2 linked regions of the Callithrix jacchus genome follow. Each later gene encodes a partner of the first gene's protein in a complex. Links are inferred from orthologs where the notes say so. Each region holds a gene or a part of one and is shown in the gene's direction. Other genes may lie near its edges.

Region 1 (7,462 bases):
TGACCACCCAACCCAGAAGGAGAGCATGGCCTGGGACCCTGCTGCCTGTTCAGGGTCATTTACGGACTGTGTCCTCCACGTACTGTTATGTTACTGAGAGTGGGCCCTCTTCCTCAGTAGGCTTGTCCCCCAATCTCTGTGGGGCCCACCCTCTTCCCTCTCTTCCTCATTGCCTTCAGCGGCCCCTGTTCCTTATTCCCATGTGGTTCCTTTCCTGCCCAGTCTGTTTTGTCCTATCTCCCTTTTCTTGTCCCAAGATCCTTCATCCCTCACTTTCTCCTTTTTTCTTTTCTCCCCTTTCCTAACCATCCTTCAACCTCAGCAGACCTTCTTCAACACTACTGTTTCCTTTCCTCCATCCCTGCAGTGACTTTTGCTCAAAGGTGAAGAACACCATCTACTGCAACGTAGAGCCATCGGAATCAAATATGCGCTGGGCACCCGAGTTCATGATTGACACTCTAGAGAACCCTGCAGCTCACACCTTCACATACACGGGGCTAGGCAAGAGTCTTAGTGAGAACCCTGCTAACCGCTACAGCTTTGTCTGCAATGCCCTTATGCACGTCTGTGTGGGGCACCATGATCCCGATAGGTATGGGGCGTACTAAGTGAGCAAGGGCACCATGCCCCCACCTGAGATAGGGAGGGCTGAGGTACCCGGGAGGTACTACAACCTTGATTTACTGGGGCAGAGATGAGAAGTTAATGGGTCTGAGGTTTTGTGGAGCAAGGTTTTTCCTGAGGGCATTTGTACTTTTCCCTAGGGTGAATGACATCGCAATCCTGTGTGCAGAGCTGACCGGCTATTGCAAGTCACTGAGTGCAGAATGGCTAGGAGTGCTTAAGGCCTTGTGCTGCTCCTCTAACAACGGCACTTGTGGTTTCAACGACCTCCTTTGCAATGTCGATGTGAGACTTGGGGTGGGGTCTTGCTAGTGGGGCAGTGACCAGGGCAGGGGTCTAGTCATGATCCTCTGACCAGGGCAGAGTTCCATAGAGTGGAGGCACACAGCTTTGAGTGGGTGCCTCTCTCCACACTGAGTCATGGTGTCTGTCTGCTTTTTCCTCCAGGTCAGTGACCTGTCTTTTCATGATTCGTTGGCTACTTTTGTTGCCATCCTCATCGCTCGGCAGTGTTTGCTCCTGGAGGATCTGATTCGCTGTGCTGCCATCCCTTCACTCCTTAATGCTGGTGAACTACCAATCTGTAACCCCTAGCATTTCTAGGCCTCAAATTTCAATACATACTGGACGGCCATCCTCTCATTGTTCACTGTGGGAGACCTTGCAGCGGCTCCCTGGCCTTCCCGAGAAGGCCAGTCCTTTGGTATGCTGAAGGCTAGAAGGAACCTGTTTTTTTAAACCCTGGATTTGCAGCCCTGACCTTTCCAATTTCTGACCCTTCAACTGCGTGACAGTTCTCCACTGTACCTCATTTTCACAGTTATCTTGCTTTTTCTCCTTTCACTTTACCTCATCTTCTCTCCTATGCTCCTGCCATACACTTCCATGCATGCAGGCATGTACACACATAAACCCACGTAGAGTTCAGCTTCATCCATCGCAGATCTGTATTGTCTTCCTTTTAGCTTGTAGTGAACAGGACTCTGAACCAGGTGCCCGGCTTACCTGCCGCATCCTCCTTCACCTCTTCAAGACACCGCAGCTCAATCCTTGCCAGTCTGATGGAAGTAAGTGACCCTGATCTGAACCAACCAACAGTAGAAAGTGTGGCTCCCTTGCCCCTGTGGATTCTGCTCCTGCTTCCCCTGACTTCATCGCCTTCCCCAGACAAGCCTACAGTAGGAATCCGCTCCTCCTGTGACCGCCACCTGCTGGCTGCCTCCCAGAACCGCATCGTGGATGGAGCTGTGTTTGCTGTTCTCAAGGCTGTGTTTGTACTTGGTATGGGGGTAGAAAGGGAGTGGTGCCAGAAGTGTGTATAGGGTGGAGTGCCAGCTAAACTACAAGGGACAGTCTTTCTCCCTCCTGAAGGTGGTCTCTCTGACCTTTTGGGAGGAGGGGAGGGACAGAAGTATATTTCTGTCCCATAGGGCAGGATTTGGGGTGTTTCTGCCTCTGTGGGCCCAGGGTGGGTCTCCACACAGTGTTCCAATCTCATTCTGCCCTCCCTATCTCCCACCCGTGAACCACAGGGGATGCAGAACTGAAGGGTTCAGGCTTCACTGTGACAGGAGGAACAGAAGAACTTCCAGAGGAGGAGGGAGGAGGTGGCAGTGGCGGTCGGAGGCAGGGTGGCCGCAACATCTCTGTGGAGACAGCCAGTCTGGATGTCTATGCCAAGTACGTGCTACGCAGCATCTGCCAACAGGTCAGTCTCACCTTCCTCCCACACCTCCAAAATGCCTCTGTGTAATATAGTCCTGTTTCCAGCCCGTGATCATACCACCTCCCTACTATACATTGTGTCCCTTACCAATTCCAGCCCATCCCCCATATTGCTAACTCCCTCACTGGTTGCTCCCAGTCCCTGATTGTCAGCTTTCTCAGGAATGGGTAGGAGAACGTTGCCTTAAGTCACTGTGTGAGGACAGCAATGACCTGCAAGACCCAGTGTTGAGTAGTGCCCAGGCACAACGCCTCATGCAGCTCATCTGCTACCCACATCGACTCCTGGACAATGAGGATGGGGAAAACCCCCAGCGACAGCGCATAAAGCGCATTCTCCAGGTAGACCAAGGCCAAGGGGGCCATGGAGGAAGCAATGGGCCCAATCTGGCGAGAAACAATAGGAACCTTGAGAAAAGGAGAGGGAGAGTTAAGTAGAGAGGAAGACAAACAAGGATGTAGGGGAGAGGAGGGGTAGTGAGAGAAACAGCTCCAGCATGGGCTGAGGAGTAAGTCCAATATGGTCTAGACTCCAGAGTAAGAGTGTTATGTGAGGGCACAGCTATCTGGAGTGAATCTAGCTTATCAGTGGGAAGCATAGCATCTGGGGGGCCTAGGTGTGGGTCTTGTATATTTGGCATTTTGGCCATGGCTCAGGAACTGAATAGTAATAGCTACTAATTGCTGAGCACATGTTTTGTGCCAGGTACTGTGCTAGGCACCTGCACACATTTCCTCATTTAATCTTTATGACCCTATGAAGTAGGTGAGCCTCCCTGTTTGACTGATGAGGAAACTGAGGCTTGAAGAGGTTAAGTAACTTGTCCAAGGTCACATAGCTGATAGGTTTAGAGTCAGCCCAGACATGTCTGTGCACTTTTCACTTCACATTGCTCCACATCTTCAGATGACTGGAGAATGGAAAAATAAAGCCGTTGAGGAAAAGCTTAAGGAATAAGGTCTCTTCAGCCCAGAATAGATAGGGCTGAAGAGAGATTAGCTAACAGTAGCCTTCTAATCTCTACAGGACTTTGAGAGATTGTCTTATAAAGGTCCTGTCAGGGACTTTCAGCAGCTAGTCTAAAACAAGAGGAGCAGGCTTCAACTTTAACATCAAGGGTTTCAAGGTTAAGCATTAAGCAGAACTTCCTGATATAAAGGGATGGGAAAGATGTGAAATCTTTCCTGAACCATTTTAAAAATTGAGAAGATTTTCAGCTAGTTTGGACTAATGTATTTTTTCTTTTCTTTTCTTTTTTTTTTTTTTTTTTTGAGACAAGTCTTGTTCTTATCACCTAGACTGGAGTGCAGTGGCACAATCTCAGCTCACTGCAACCTCCACCTCCCAGGCGCAAGTGATTCTTCTACCTCAGCCTCCTGAGTAACGGGGATTACAGACACCCGCCACCATGCCTGGCTAATTTTTGTATTTTTAGTAGAGATGGGGTTTCACCATGTTGGCCAGGCTGGTCTTAAACTCCTGACCTCGGGCGATCCACCCACCTCAGCCTCCCTAAATGTGGTTGTTCTTAAAGATGGGCACATAGAGGTCTCTTTCAGACCTCCAGGAGTCTGATTCAATGTTGCAGGAGATCAGGAATTGGCCTCAGGTTGGTGGGTAGCTGGGGGTAACAGATGATGACTAGTCTGGATGTGGGACCTCTATCACAGAACTTGGACCAGTGGACCATGCGCCAGTCTTCCTTGGAGCTGCAGCTCATGATCAAGCAGACCCCCAACAATGTAAGTAGTACCTGGACCCTCCCTTTCCTGTGCTCACATTCAACTCCTTGTGTTAGGAAGGCAGTCCACCACAGAACCTAGATCTTACCCTTGGGCTCTTGAACTGAGAGATAAGAGGGGATGGGAAAATGGTGAACAAGTGGAGCTGTTGATAAGGGAAATGGGTTGAGAGTGTTGGAGCTCTGAGCTGTGGAGAAGCTTGGTGGTGGTGGTAGAGCCTGTTTCTGTGGCCACAGATGTAAGGATATATGTAAAAGAGAAGACAGTGAGGAATTAGAGAAATACGGAGGTACTAGAAGGCATGATTCCCAACAGATTTGGGTTCCTACCTCCCCATCAATCTCCACCAGTCCTATCCTCCCTCATCTCCCATCTCTCCTACCATCTGCTTTCCTTCACCCCTAGCTACCTATTTTAGCACTTCTGTGCCTTTCATCCTCCCCAGGAGATGAACTCCCTCTTGGAGAACATCGCCAAGGCCACAATCGAGGTTTTCCAACAGTCAGCAGAGACAGGGTCATCTTCCGGAAACACTGCAAGCAACATGCCCAGCAGCAGCAAGACCAAGCCTGTGCTCAGGTCAGATAGAAACATGTTGGGACCCATCCCCTTAGGAGTTTCTCTGCTGGTAGCATGTGTGATGTTAGCTGCATGGAGATGCCAGCATGTCTATCAGGGAAAGGAGAGGGTGGATTGTTCCAGCCTTGCCTGGTTCCCCTGTGACCCTGTGTCTGTTCTCCAGCTCTCTAGAGCGCTCTGGTGTATGGCTGGTAGCCCCTCTCATTGCTAAACTGCCCACCTCAGTCCAGGGACATGTGTTAAAGGCTGCTGGAGAGGAATTGGAGAAGGGTCAGCACCTGGGTTCCTCTTCACGCAAAGAACGTGATCGACAAAAGCAGAAGAGGTAAAGGGGCTTAGGGAGTGGGCCAAGATAGAGGGGTAGAAAGGAGAGGAGGCAGGCCCAGGGAAGAATATAATTGGGATGGAGGAGAAGCATAATAGGGAAGTGGAAAATCAGAGGATAAAAGTGGGTATGGCTGAGCAAGCGGCTAGATTAAGAGAGTAGAGTCTGGGGCTTGGAGGAATGAGGTTGGAAGTTGCCTGACTCCCAACCCACAGTCTTCTCTTCTCTCTTCTCTCCTCTTCTCTTCTCTTTTCTCCTCTTGTCTCTAGCATGTCCCTGTTAAGCCAGCAGCCCTTCTTATCACTGGTGCTGACATGTCTGAAAGGGCAGGATGAACAACGCGAGGGACTCCTTACCTCCCTCTATAGCCAGGTGCACCAGGTACAGATATCTGGGCCATGGAGTTGGGCAGGAGGGCAGGGAAGGATGCACCTAAGGGGCTACTCTGTACTTGGAAACGTCAGTACTTTCTGATAAACATATTGGCTGCTTTGAGATGGAAGCACAAAGATCCCTGAACTGCATGTTTTATTTGTTTCTATTCTAGATTGTGAATAATTGGCGAGATGACCAGTACTTAGATGATTGCAAACCAAAGCAGCTTATGCATGAGGCACTCAAACTGCGGCTCAACCTGGTGAGAAGGCCAGCTGGGGAGAAGAAGGAAGAGGGTAGGGCTGGAAATGTGGAATACAAAAGCCTCAGGTTGTAGAGAACAGAGGTGAGAATAGCGGCTCCAGGCTCCAGGTTATTTTTTATTTTTTTGGAGACGGAGTCTCACTCTGTCACTCAAGCTGGAATACAGTGGTGCCATCTCAGTTCACTGCAACCTCCACTTCCTGGGTTCAAGTGATTCTTTTGCCTCAGCCTCCCAAGTAGCTGGGAGTACAGGCATGCGCCACCACGCCCAGCTATTTTTTGTATATTTAGTAGAGACGGGGTTTCACCATGCTGGCCAGGCTGGTCTTGAACTACCGACCTCAGGTGATCCACCCACCTCGGCCTCCCAAAGTGCTGGGATTATAGGTGTGAGCCACCGCGCCCACCCTGAGTCTTGAAGTATTAACCCTGTTCTCCGAAAGGATGCAGAAACTGAAAGTAGTTAAGGGGGCTGGATCACTGTGGTCATGGTCCAGTAGGTTACGTACCCTGGATCCTTGCAGGGACTCTGCCTCAGTATCCTAGATTCTGACTGGGCCCTAGAAGCTCTGGAAACCCATTGTGGAATATTGAATGGAATCCTGGAAATCATTCAGTCCAACTCCCATCACTTTCTAAGTTTGGAAACAGAGGCCCAGAGATGTCAAGAATTCCCTCATTGTCTTAAGATCATGTAGCAAAGCATAGGTTCAACTTGAGCATGACCTCAGGCATCCCAACTCAGATTTGAACTAAGCTTCCCTTACATGCTGGCCTTTGTCCCTGAGCTATCTTACTGACTTGTTGTGGCCTTGGCAGGTGGGGGGCATGTTTGACACGGTGCAGCGCAGCACCCAGCAGACCACAGAGTGGGCCGTGCTCCTCCTAGAGATCATCATCAGCGGCACTGTCGACATGCAGTCCAACAAGTAAAGCATCCCCACCTGCTCCCTGCAGTTTCACACCCAAGAAGGTCCCCCTACCTCCACGCCAAGTGGACCCACTGAGATTGGTGTGGCTGTTACTGTGGACTCCATGGCCCTGGGATCCCCATATGGTTTTGGTGCCCTCAGGGTGACATATTAAGCACCTCTCCCTGCTTGTGTCCTCTGCTGACGCCTTTTTCTGTCTTCACCTCTCTCTTCTCTGGCTTTCTCCCTGGCTTCCTGTCTCAGTGAGCTCTTCACTACTGTGTTGGACATGCTGAGCGTGCTCATCAACGGGACATTGGCTGCAGACATGTCTAGCATCTCCCAAGGTAGCATGGAGGAAAACAAGCGTGCATACATGAACTTGGCAAAGAAGCTGCAGGTGAGCAGAGGAGGCAGGGGCAAGGTTTGCGGGTACCGGAATCTGCTGTCCAGCCTCAGGAACTTGGTTCTAGCTGGAGCCCTCTACCTTTCCTTCTCACATCTGTCTCCTTTGTTACTCATGCCATGAGCATTTACTGAGTGGGGGTCTTCTCTGTGCCAGGTTCTGTGCTGTCCCTGAGATTTCCCATCCTTGTTTTTCTGTATCTCTGAACTCTTGTCCCATCTTCCTGTAACTGCAGAAGGAGTTGGGGGAGCGCCAGTCAGACAGTCTGGAAAAGGTTCGCCAGCTGCTGCCACTGCCCAAGCAGACCCGAGATGTCATCACGTGTGAGCCACAGGGCTCCCTTATCGATACCAAGGGCAACAAGATTGCTGGCTTTGATTCCATCTTCAAGAAGGAGGCATGTTCCATTGTCTGCCCATGTCCCCTGCCTTTTTTCCCCTTTGGGCAAGAACCTTCCCTGCATCAGCTTTGTAGCTCCAACAGACTCATCAGATTCAGGAGCCCATC
Region 2 (7,462 bases), on another chromosome or scaffold:
GCTAGGCTGTATCTTGGGTGGGAGGTCTTCAGTGTTCTTCAGGACTTGATTTCCTGTCCTGTCTCCAGACAATGGATGCAGACCACTCTAAGTCCCCGGAGGGACTGCTGGGCGTCCTGGGCCACATGCTATCCGGGAAGAGTCTGGACTTGCTACTGGCTGCTGCTGCTGCCACTGGAAAGCTGAAATCCTTCGCCCGGAAATTCATCAAGTGAGGAAGGCCAAGCTCCTGACCCCAGGGCATGCGGGGAGGCCATGCGTGTTGGCAGGAGGTAGCAGAGTAGGAGTCAGGTGCCTGGGTCTGGGTCTCGTCCAGAGACCCACGGGCCTAGGCAGAGCACCCTGGCTGGAGATCTTGTAGAAAGGGCCTGTTCTCACAACCTAAGTGTTCTTTTCTCTTCAGCTGAGGATGGAGTGGATGTGTTTGGTAAAGAGATGAGGGTAAAGGTTGAGGCGTTGAACACTGGACGTGGAGGCATTCCAAGTATGCCCAGTTATTAATAAGCAGCTCTCAAATTCTGTTGCCTTTTCTGGTTGCCCTAGAATCTGACATACAGAACATGGTACCATTCAGTGAGCCGTTCTCTAGGCCATGGAAATCTTCTCACAATGGCTCACGCCTGTAATCCCAGCACTTTGGGAGGCCAAAGCGGGTGGATCACGAGGTCAAGAGATCAAGACCCTCCTGGTCAAAATGGTGAAACCCCATCTCTACTAAAGATACAAAATATTAGCTGGGCATGGTGGCACGTGCCTGTAATCCCAGCTACTCAGGAGGCTGAGGCAGGAGAATTGCCTGAACAAGGAGGTGGAGTTTGCGGTGAGCCGAGATCGCGCCATTGCACTCCAGCCTGGGTAACAAGAGCGAAACTCTGTCTCAAAAAACAAAACAAAACAAACAAACAAACAAACAAATAGTAATACTTTTCCTGTAGCAGCATGTCTCCTTTTAAGTTTAACCTGTAACTCAGACTCTAGCGACCACTCTCTGAGCATGTGTAGCCCCCAGCGCCCAGCTACTGCTCAGCTCATGCTCTGGTCAACGCAACCTGTCTCCATTCCTTTCAGTTTGAATGAATTCACAACCTATGGCAGCGAAGAAAGCAGTAAGTCAGCCCTGTGCATCCGCAGGCCCAGTGGGATCTGAGGAGGGGTGTGGAGGGAGAGTGTGGGAGGGAGGAGGGTGTGCGGGAGGGAGGAGGGCACCTGGGCTCAACGCGGGGAGGCTGTGCTGCCTCCTCAGAGCCATGACTGATGGAAGCTTCCACAGAGCTCGGAAGTGGGTAATGCTGGAGAAGGATTCTTCCCAGACCATCCCTGTGTCTCGTTTCCCCCACCCCTTATGACTTGGTTGGGTATGCTGGAAGAGGGTGCTGGGGGCCTTTGGTCTCAAGGAAGGGATGATGTTCCAACTGAGACTCAAGAAAAGGATTCTGAGCCTCAGAGCTTTGAAGGAGCCACGTGGTCCCTGACCTTCCTAGAGACAAATCCTGATCCCCATCCACCCAGACATGGGCTCTCCCTGGTAGCTCAGCTGTCCTGTCCTTCCACAGCCAAACCGGCCTCTGTCCGGGCCCTGCTATTTGACATCTCCTTCCTCATGCTGTGCCACGTGGCCCAGACCTATGGTTCAGAGGTGAGGAAGAGGGGAGTGGCCGGGACGGGGGCTCAGGGGAAGGAGGTAACTCGGAATTCTCCCCACCTCACCACCCGCCCCGCCACAGCCTCTCAGCCAGTCAGTATTGTGGGCCTCAGAAACCAAGTGCCCACCCGGGCTGGAGTCTGCAGAGGCCCCCTTCAGCCCCATGCTACACTGACCACTAGGTGGCAGCATAGCCCCCATCTGCCTCCGTTGGACCGGTTTGTCCCCAGTCTTCAGGCTGGGCTGGAGCAGCAACGTGACAGGAAACAGTGCAGCCCCAGGTCTAGCGCTGGCAGGCGCCGCACCCTCCACTCGGCTGGTGCCCCCTCTTCCCCTTTCCCAGGTGATTCTGTCTGAGTCGCGCTCAGGAGCTGAGGTACCCTTCTTCGAGACCTGGATGCAGACCTGCATGCCTGAGGAGGGCAAGATCCTGAACCCTGACCACCCCTGCTTCCGCCCCGACTCCACCAAAGTGGAGTCCCTGGTGGCCCTGCTCAACAACTCCTCGGAGATGAAGCTGGTGTCAGTGGCCCGGGCGCCCACTCCAAGGGTGGCGGTGGGGGCACGGCCAAGACTCTCTCCCTGAGCCTGTCCCCTGCTTCCCTGTGGTGACTTCTCCCACGCACACCCACAGGCAGATGAAGTGGCACGAGGCCTGTCTCAGCATCTCAGCCGCCATCTTGGAAATCCTCAATGCCTGGGAGAACGGGGTCCTGGCCTTCGAGTCCATCCAGGTAGCCCCGCCTTCCCAGCAGCCTTTGCTCCCGTGAGCCAGCCAGTGATGGCTTGTTATATTTCATGACAGTGAAAAGACCTTTAATCCAGGAGCTCATGTGTTTTGTTTGTTTGTTTGTTTTGAGATAGAGTCTTGTTTTGTTGCCAGGGTGGAGGGCACTGGAGTGATCTCGGCTCACTGAACCTCTGCCTTCTGGGTTCAAGTGATTCTCCCACCTCAGCCTCCTGAGTAGCTGGGACTACAAGCGTGTGTCACTACAACTGGCTCATTTTTGTATTTTTAGTAGAAATAGGATTTCACCATGTTGGTCAGGCTGGTCTCGAATTCCTGACCTTGTGATCTGCCCATCTCAGCCTCCCAAAGTGCTAGGATTACGGGTGTGAGTTACCACACTTGGCCCAAGGAGCTCATGTTTTGATATTGATCTTTTGTATAATCTAGTCTTAGCCATTCCCTCTGGCCCAGGTAGCTCTAGGAAAAATTAGACTCGTGGAGAGAGGTGTGGAATGTCGCTGGGGACTGCACTTAGATGCCCACAGAGGCTGAGAAGGTGATGGCCCAGGAATGGGAGATAGATGGTGCCCATCACCTTTCCTCTCCCCTAGAAAATCACTGATAACATCAAAGGGAAGGTGTGCAGTCTGGCGGTGTGTGCGGTGGCTTGGCTTGTGGCCCATGTCCGGATGCTGGGGCTAGATGAGCGTGAGAAGTCTCTGCAGATGATTCGTCAGCTGGCAGGACCACTGTTTAGTGAGAACACCTTGCAGTTCTACAATGAAAGGTCAGTAACCCGCCCTCCCTTCTCAGGCCCAGCAGGTGTGTTGTGAGAAATCCATCCAATAACAAGCACCCCTCTCTTCTGACCTTCGCAAACACGCTGCTCGGTCACTCACTTTCCTGTTCATGCATCCACTCACCTGACTCGGTCAACACATAGTGTGTCTCTGTGGCAGAAACGTCTGTACGCCAGCACCTGCTGTGTGTCAGAAATGCAGATCCCAAACAGCTATGATCCTGCCCTCAGATTCTCAAGTTCTAGACAACTAGCTCTCCAAAGAACAAAGCTGTGTAACTGTCTAGGAACTAGAAAAGTGTCTGGAGATTTTACAGGCCATCCCCCACCCCCAGTTATCTTTTAGGACAGTTTCCTGCCCTGGCTCTTCAGTTTTTAATTATAAAAAGCACATAAGATTTGCCATCTTAAGCATGTTTAAGTGTCCTGTTCGGTAGTGTTCAGTATATTCACACTGTTGTGTGACAAGTCTCCTCCAGAACTTTCTTCTTACGTCTCTGAAACTTTGTATCCACTGAGCAACTTCCCATTTTTTCCTCCCTCCAGCTCCTGGTAACTACCATTTTAGTTTCTGCATCTAGGAATTTGACTACTTTATATATATATATATATATATATATATATATATATATATATATTTTTTTTTTTTTTTTTTTTTGGGGGGCTGGAGTGCAATGACGCGATCTCAGCTCACCGCAACCTCCACCTCCTGGGTTCAGGCAATTCTCCTGCCTCAGCCTCCTGAGTCGCTGGGATTACAGGCACGCGCCACCATGCCCAGCTAATTTTTTGTATTTTTAGTAGAGACAGGGTTTCACCATGTTGACCAGGATGGTCTCGATCTCTTGACCTCATGATCCACTGGCCTCGGCCTCCCAAAGTACTGGGATTACAGGCTTGAGCCACCGAGCCCTGCCTATAATTTTTTTTTTTTTTTGGGGGGTGGGGGGACCCAGACCAGAGTGAGTTCACTGCAACCTCAAACCTCTGGGCTCAAGTGATCCTCCCACCTCAGCCTCCCGAGTAGCTGGGACTGCAGGCCCACACCTGGGTAATTTTTTCTATTTTTTGTAGAAACATGTTCTTACTATCTTGCTAGGTCTTGAACTGCTGGCCTCAAGTGATCCTCTCACTGTGGACTCCCAAAGTGCTGGGGTTGCAGGCATGACTCACCAAGACCTGCTGAATTTGACTACTTTTTAGATGCCTCATTTAACTGGAATCATACAGTACTTAACTTTTCGTGACCAACTGACTTCACTCACCATGATTTCCTCAAAGTTCATCCATGTAGTAGCATGTGACAGAATTTCCTTCCTCTTTAAGGCTGAATAATACTCTGTTGTGGGCTGGGTGCGGTGGCTCACGCCTGTAATCCCAGCACTTTGGAAGGCCGAGGTGGGTGGATCCTTGAGGTCAGGAGTTCAAGGCCAGCCTGGCCAACATGGTGAAACCTCATCTCTACTAAAAATACAGAAATTAGCTGGGCATGGTGGCAGGCACCTCTAATCCCACCAGCTACTTGGGACGCTAAGACAGGAGAATTGCTTGAACTTGGGAGGCAGAGGTTGCTGTGAGCCGAGATCGCGCCACTGTACGCCAGCCTGGGTGACAGAGTGAGACGCTGTCTCAAAAAACAAAACAAAAACAAAAAGAAAGAAACCTCTGTTGTGTGGCTATACCGCATCTAGATGATCCCTTCTCTGTGACACTCGAGTTTTTTCCACCTTTGGGCTATGGTGAGTAGTGCTGCTGAGATAATGGGTGTTCACCAGCCAATATGATTTGGGTGTTACCTCGCAAGGGAGCTGTTGAGAATGTCATTTATTCATTTATTTATTTAGTTAGAGACGGAGTCTTGTTCTGTTGCCCAGGCAGGAGTGCAGTGGTGTGATCTCGGCTCACCACAACCTCTGCCTCCTGGGTTCAAGCAATTCTCCTGCCTTAGCCTCCCGAGTAGCTGGGATTACAGTCGTGTGCCACCACGCCCGGCGAATTTTTGTATTTTTAGTAGAGATGGGGTTTCGCCATGTTGGCCAGGCTGGTCTCGAACTCCTGACCTCAGACGATCCTCCCACCTCAGCGTTCCAAGGTGCTGGGATTACAGGTGTGAGCCACCACGCCCAGCCTGAAGATGTCTTAATAGAGAGAAGGGAAAGCATTGAGCTGAATGAGGTTTGGGAGGGTCTGGAAAAGGACCTCTCATCTTCCTCTTGCTTCCTTCTTTTTACTTTCTTCTCTCATTTCCGTCCCCCCTCTCCCGCCCCTACCAAATAGGGAGCTTTTGCTCTGATGTAATCCATTCTAAGCTTCCTAAGTCCCATCTGGGTAAGGGATAGAGGGAAGTCTGTGACTCTATTGTGCAGGTGAGAAAAGTGGCTCTAAAAGTCATAGCAGCTTTCCCAGAGCCACCCCGCATTCCAGGAACAGTCAGCACTCGGCCAGGTCTGTATTCACATCCGAAGCCTCTTTCCTTGTGAAAATTCCTGGATATACACTTTTGTCTGCGCAGCTACCAGGGGCTGGGAGGAATCCTGTGGGGCAGCCCTTGGCCCTCTCCTGGAAGGAACTGTTTTCTTTGGGAGGAGGCCAGGGCTGGGCCAGGACCCCCAAGTGGCCCAGGGGGAAGTGATTGTGTTTATTTATGCAGCAAGTTGGCAGGGCTCGGGCCTGGGGAATGGGGGAAGTTGGAGAGTAAGGGAAGAAAAATGTAATATCTGGCTGGAGTGGCCAGGGGGAGGAAAGCCCCTGCCCAGTCCCTGTTTATAGGCTTTGTGTGCTGCAGGTGAGAGACCTGCCAGGAGCAGGGTTGGGGCCAGGTCACCTGGGGGTGTCCCCTCCCCAGCACAGAACTGGGTTAATTCCTGAGGGAGATTTCCATCACCCAAGTCCAGGGGAAAGTCTGGCGTGGGTATTTCCTCACCTCCCCTCCCCTCCCCGCCCCACAGTGGCACCTGAGCCTCAGGTCCTCTCGGCCCCCCAGGGTAGTGATCATGAACTCCATCCTGGAGCGCATGTGCGCGGATGTGCTGCAGCAGACAGCCACGCAGATCAAGTTTCCCTCCACCGGGGTGGACACGATGCCCTACTGGAACCTACTGCCCCCCAAGCGGCCCATCAAGGAGGTGTTGACGGACATCTTTGCCAAGGTGCTGGAGAAGGGCTGGGTGGACAGCCGCTCCATCCACATCTTCGACACCCTGCTGCACATGGGCGGTGTCTACTGGTTCGGCAACAACCTGATTAAGGTACTTGGGCTGGAGTGGCTGTGGGCCGATGTGGGTCCTGTGCCCTGGTTCCCTACACCTGGCCTGGTCAGCCAGGCTTCCCTGAGAGGCTGCCGTGAGCCTGATGGCTCCCTGGGGATGCCTTGCCTTGGGGTTGCCTCCTTGGGGAGCTCTGGCCAGAGGCTGGGATTCGGCCTGAGGGGTGCAGCAGCACTTGGGACCCCTCTGTGGGCCTTCCTGGACAGCCATGCTGGAGTGGCAGATCTGGGGCCCCCGGCTCCTAAACTGTCCCCGTTCCCATGCACCAGGAGCTGCTGAAGGAGACGCGGAAGGAGCACACGCTGCGGGCAGTAGAGCTGCTCTACTCCATCTTCTGCCTGGACATGCAGCAAGTGACCCTGGTCCTACTGGGCCACATCCTGCCTGGCCTGCTCACTGACTCCTCCAAGTGGCACAGCCTCATGGACCCCCCAGGCACCGCTCTTGCCAAGTAGGAGTCTCTTCAGAGCTTGGTACCACCCTGGGGGAGCCCAGTCAGACACAGAAAGCCCCTGTGGCTTCTCTGACTGTCCCCCTTTTTCTGGAACCCTTTGCCAGGCTGGCCGTGTGGTGTGCCCTCAGTTCCTACTCCTCCCACAAGGGACAGGCGTCCACCCGCCAGAAGAAGAGACACCGTGAAGACATTGAGGTAGGGCCCCTCCGTTCACTTGTTCATTTCCTGAGAATTCAGCACTTCCTGAGGGAAGCAGATGTGGTGTGATTGGTCAGGGATCTTCGGGTGGCTCGTATGGCCCCAGACTGCCTGTGGGTACGAGGGGCCTGTAGGATTGTGGGAGGGCGTGAGGAGAGAGGGGCTGAGACCCTGCTGGCCGTGCTGACCTCACGCAAATTGGAGCTCCAGCTCTTTTCCTTGACAGCTGGAAACTGAGGGGTTTAGGAGTATATAACAGTGACTCTCACACCCTCTAGGATTACATCAGCCTCTTCCCCCTGGACGACGTGCAGCCTTCGAAGTTGATGCGACTGCTGAGCTCCAATGAGGATGACGCCAACGTCCTTTCGAG

What was found. The genes of interacting proteins can lie anywhere in the genome.
Region 2: MED12 (region 1) and mediator of RNA polymerase II transcription subunit 24 share a complex: the UniProt entries of both Homo sapiens proteins name them as parts of the mediator complex. The link is inferred for Callithrix jacchus from reciprocal best matches to the Homo sapiens genes MED12 and MED24.

Annotation. Positions count from the first base shown.
Region 1 is NC_133524.1:68,408,269-68,415,730, forward strand, and holds part of MED12 (mediator of RNA polymerase II transcription subunit 12), read left to right. Parts: intron 1-367; coding exon 368-595; intron 596-767; coding exon 768-912; intron 913-1,074; coding exon 1,075-1,195; intron 1,196-1,592; coding exon 1,593-1,694; intron 1,695-1,794; coding exon 1,795-1,908; intron 1,909-2,159; coding exon 2,160-2,335; intron 2,336-2,514; coding exon 2,515-2,694; intron 2,695-4,023; coding exon 4,024-4,095; intron 4,096-4,540; coding exon 4,541-4,674; intron 4,675-4,837; coding exon 4,838-4,999; intron 5,000-5,268; coding exon 5,269-5,380; intron 5,381-5,546; coding exon 5,547-5,636; intron 5,637-6,457; coding exon 6,458-6,567; intron 6,568-6,813; coding exon 6,814-6,949; intron 6,950-7,190; coding exon 7,191-7,352; intron 7,353-7,462. UniProt on the Homo sapiens protein: Component of the Mediator complex, a coactivator involved in the regulated transcription of nearly all RNA polymerase II-dependent genes.
Region 2 is NC_133506.1:72,292,967-72,300,428, forward strand, and holds part of mediator of RNA polymerase II transcription subunit 24, read left to right. Parts: intron 1-68; coding exon 69-211; intron 212-1,068; coding exon 1,069-1,106; intron 1,107-1,384; exon of another isoform or gene 1,385-1,488; intron 1,489-1,553; coding exon 1,554-1,636; intron 1,637-1,985; coding exon 1,986-2,164; intron 2,165-2,276; coding exon 2,277-2,376; intron 2,377-2,983; coding exon 2,984-3,159; intron 3,160-6,154; coding exon 6,155-6,419; intron 6,420-6,706; coding exon 6,707-6,888; intron 6,889-6,995; coding exon 6,996-7,086; intron 7,087-7,367; coding exon 7,368-7,462. UniProt on the Homo sapiens protein: Component of the Mediator complex, a coactivator involved in the regulated transcription of nearly all RNA polymerase II-dependent genes.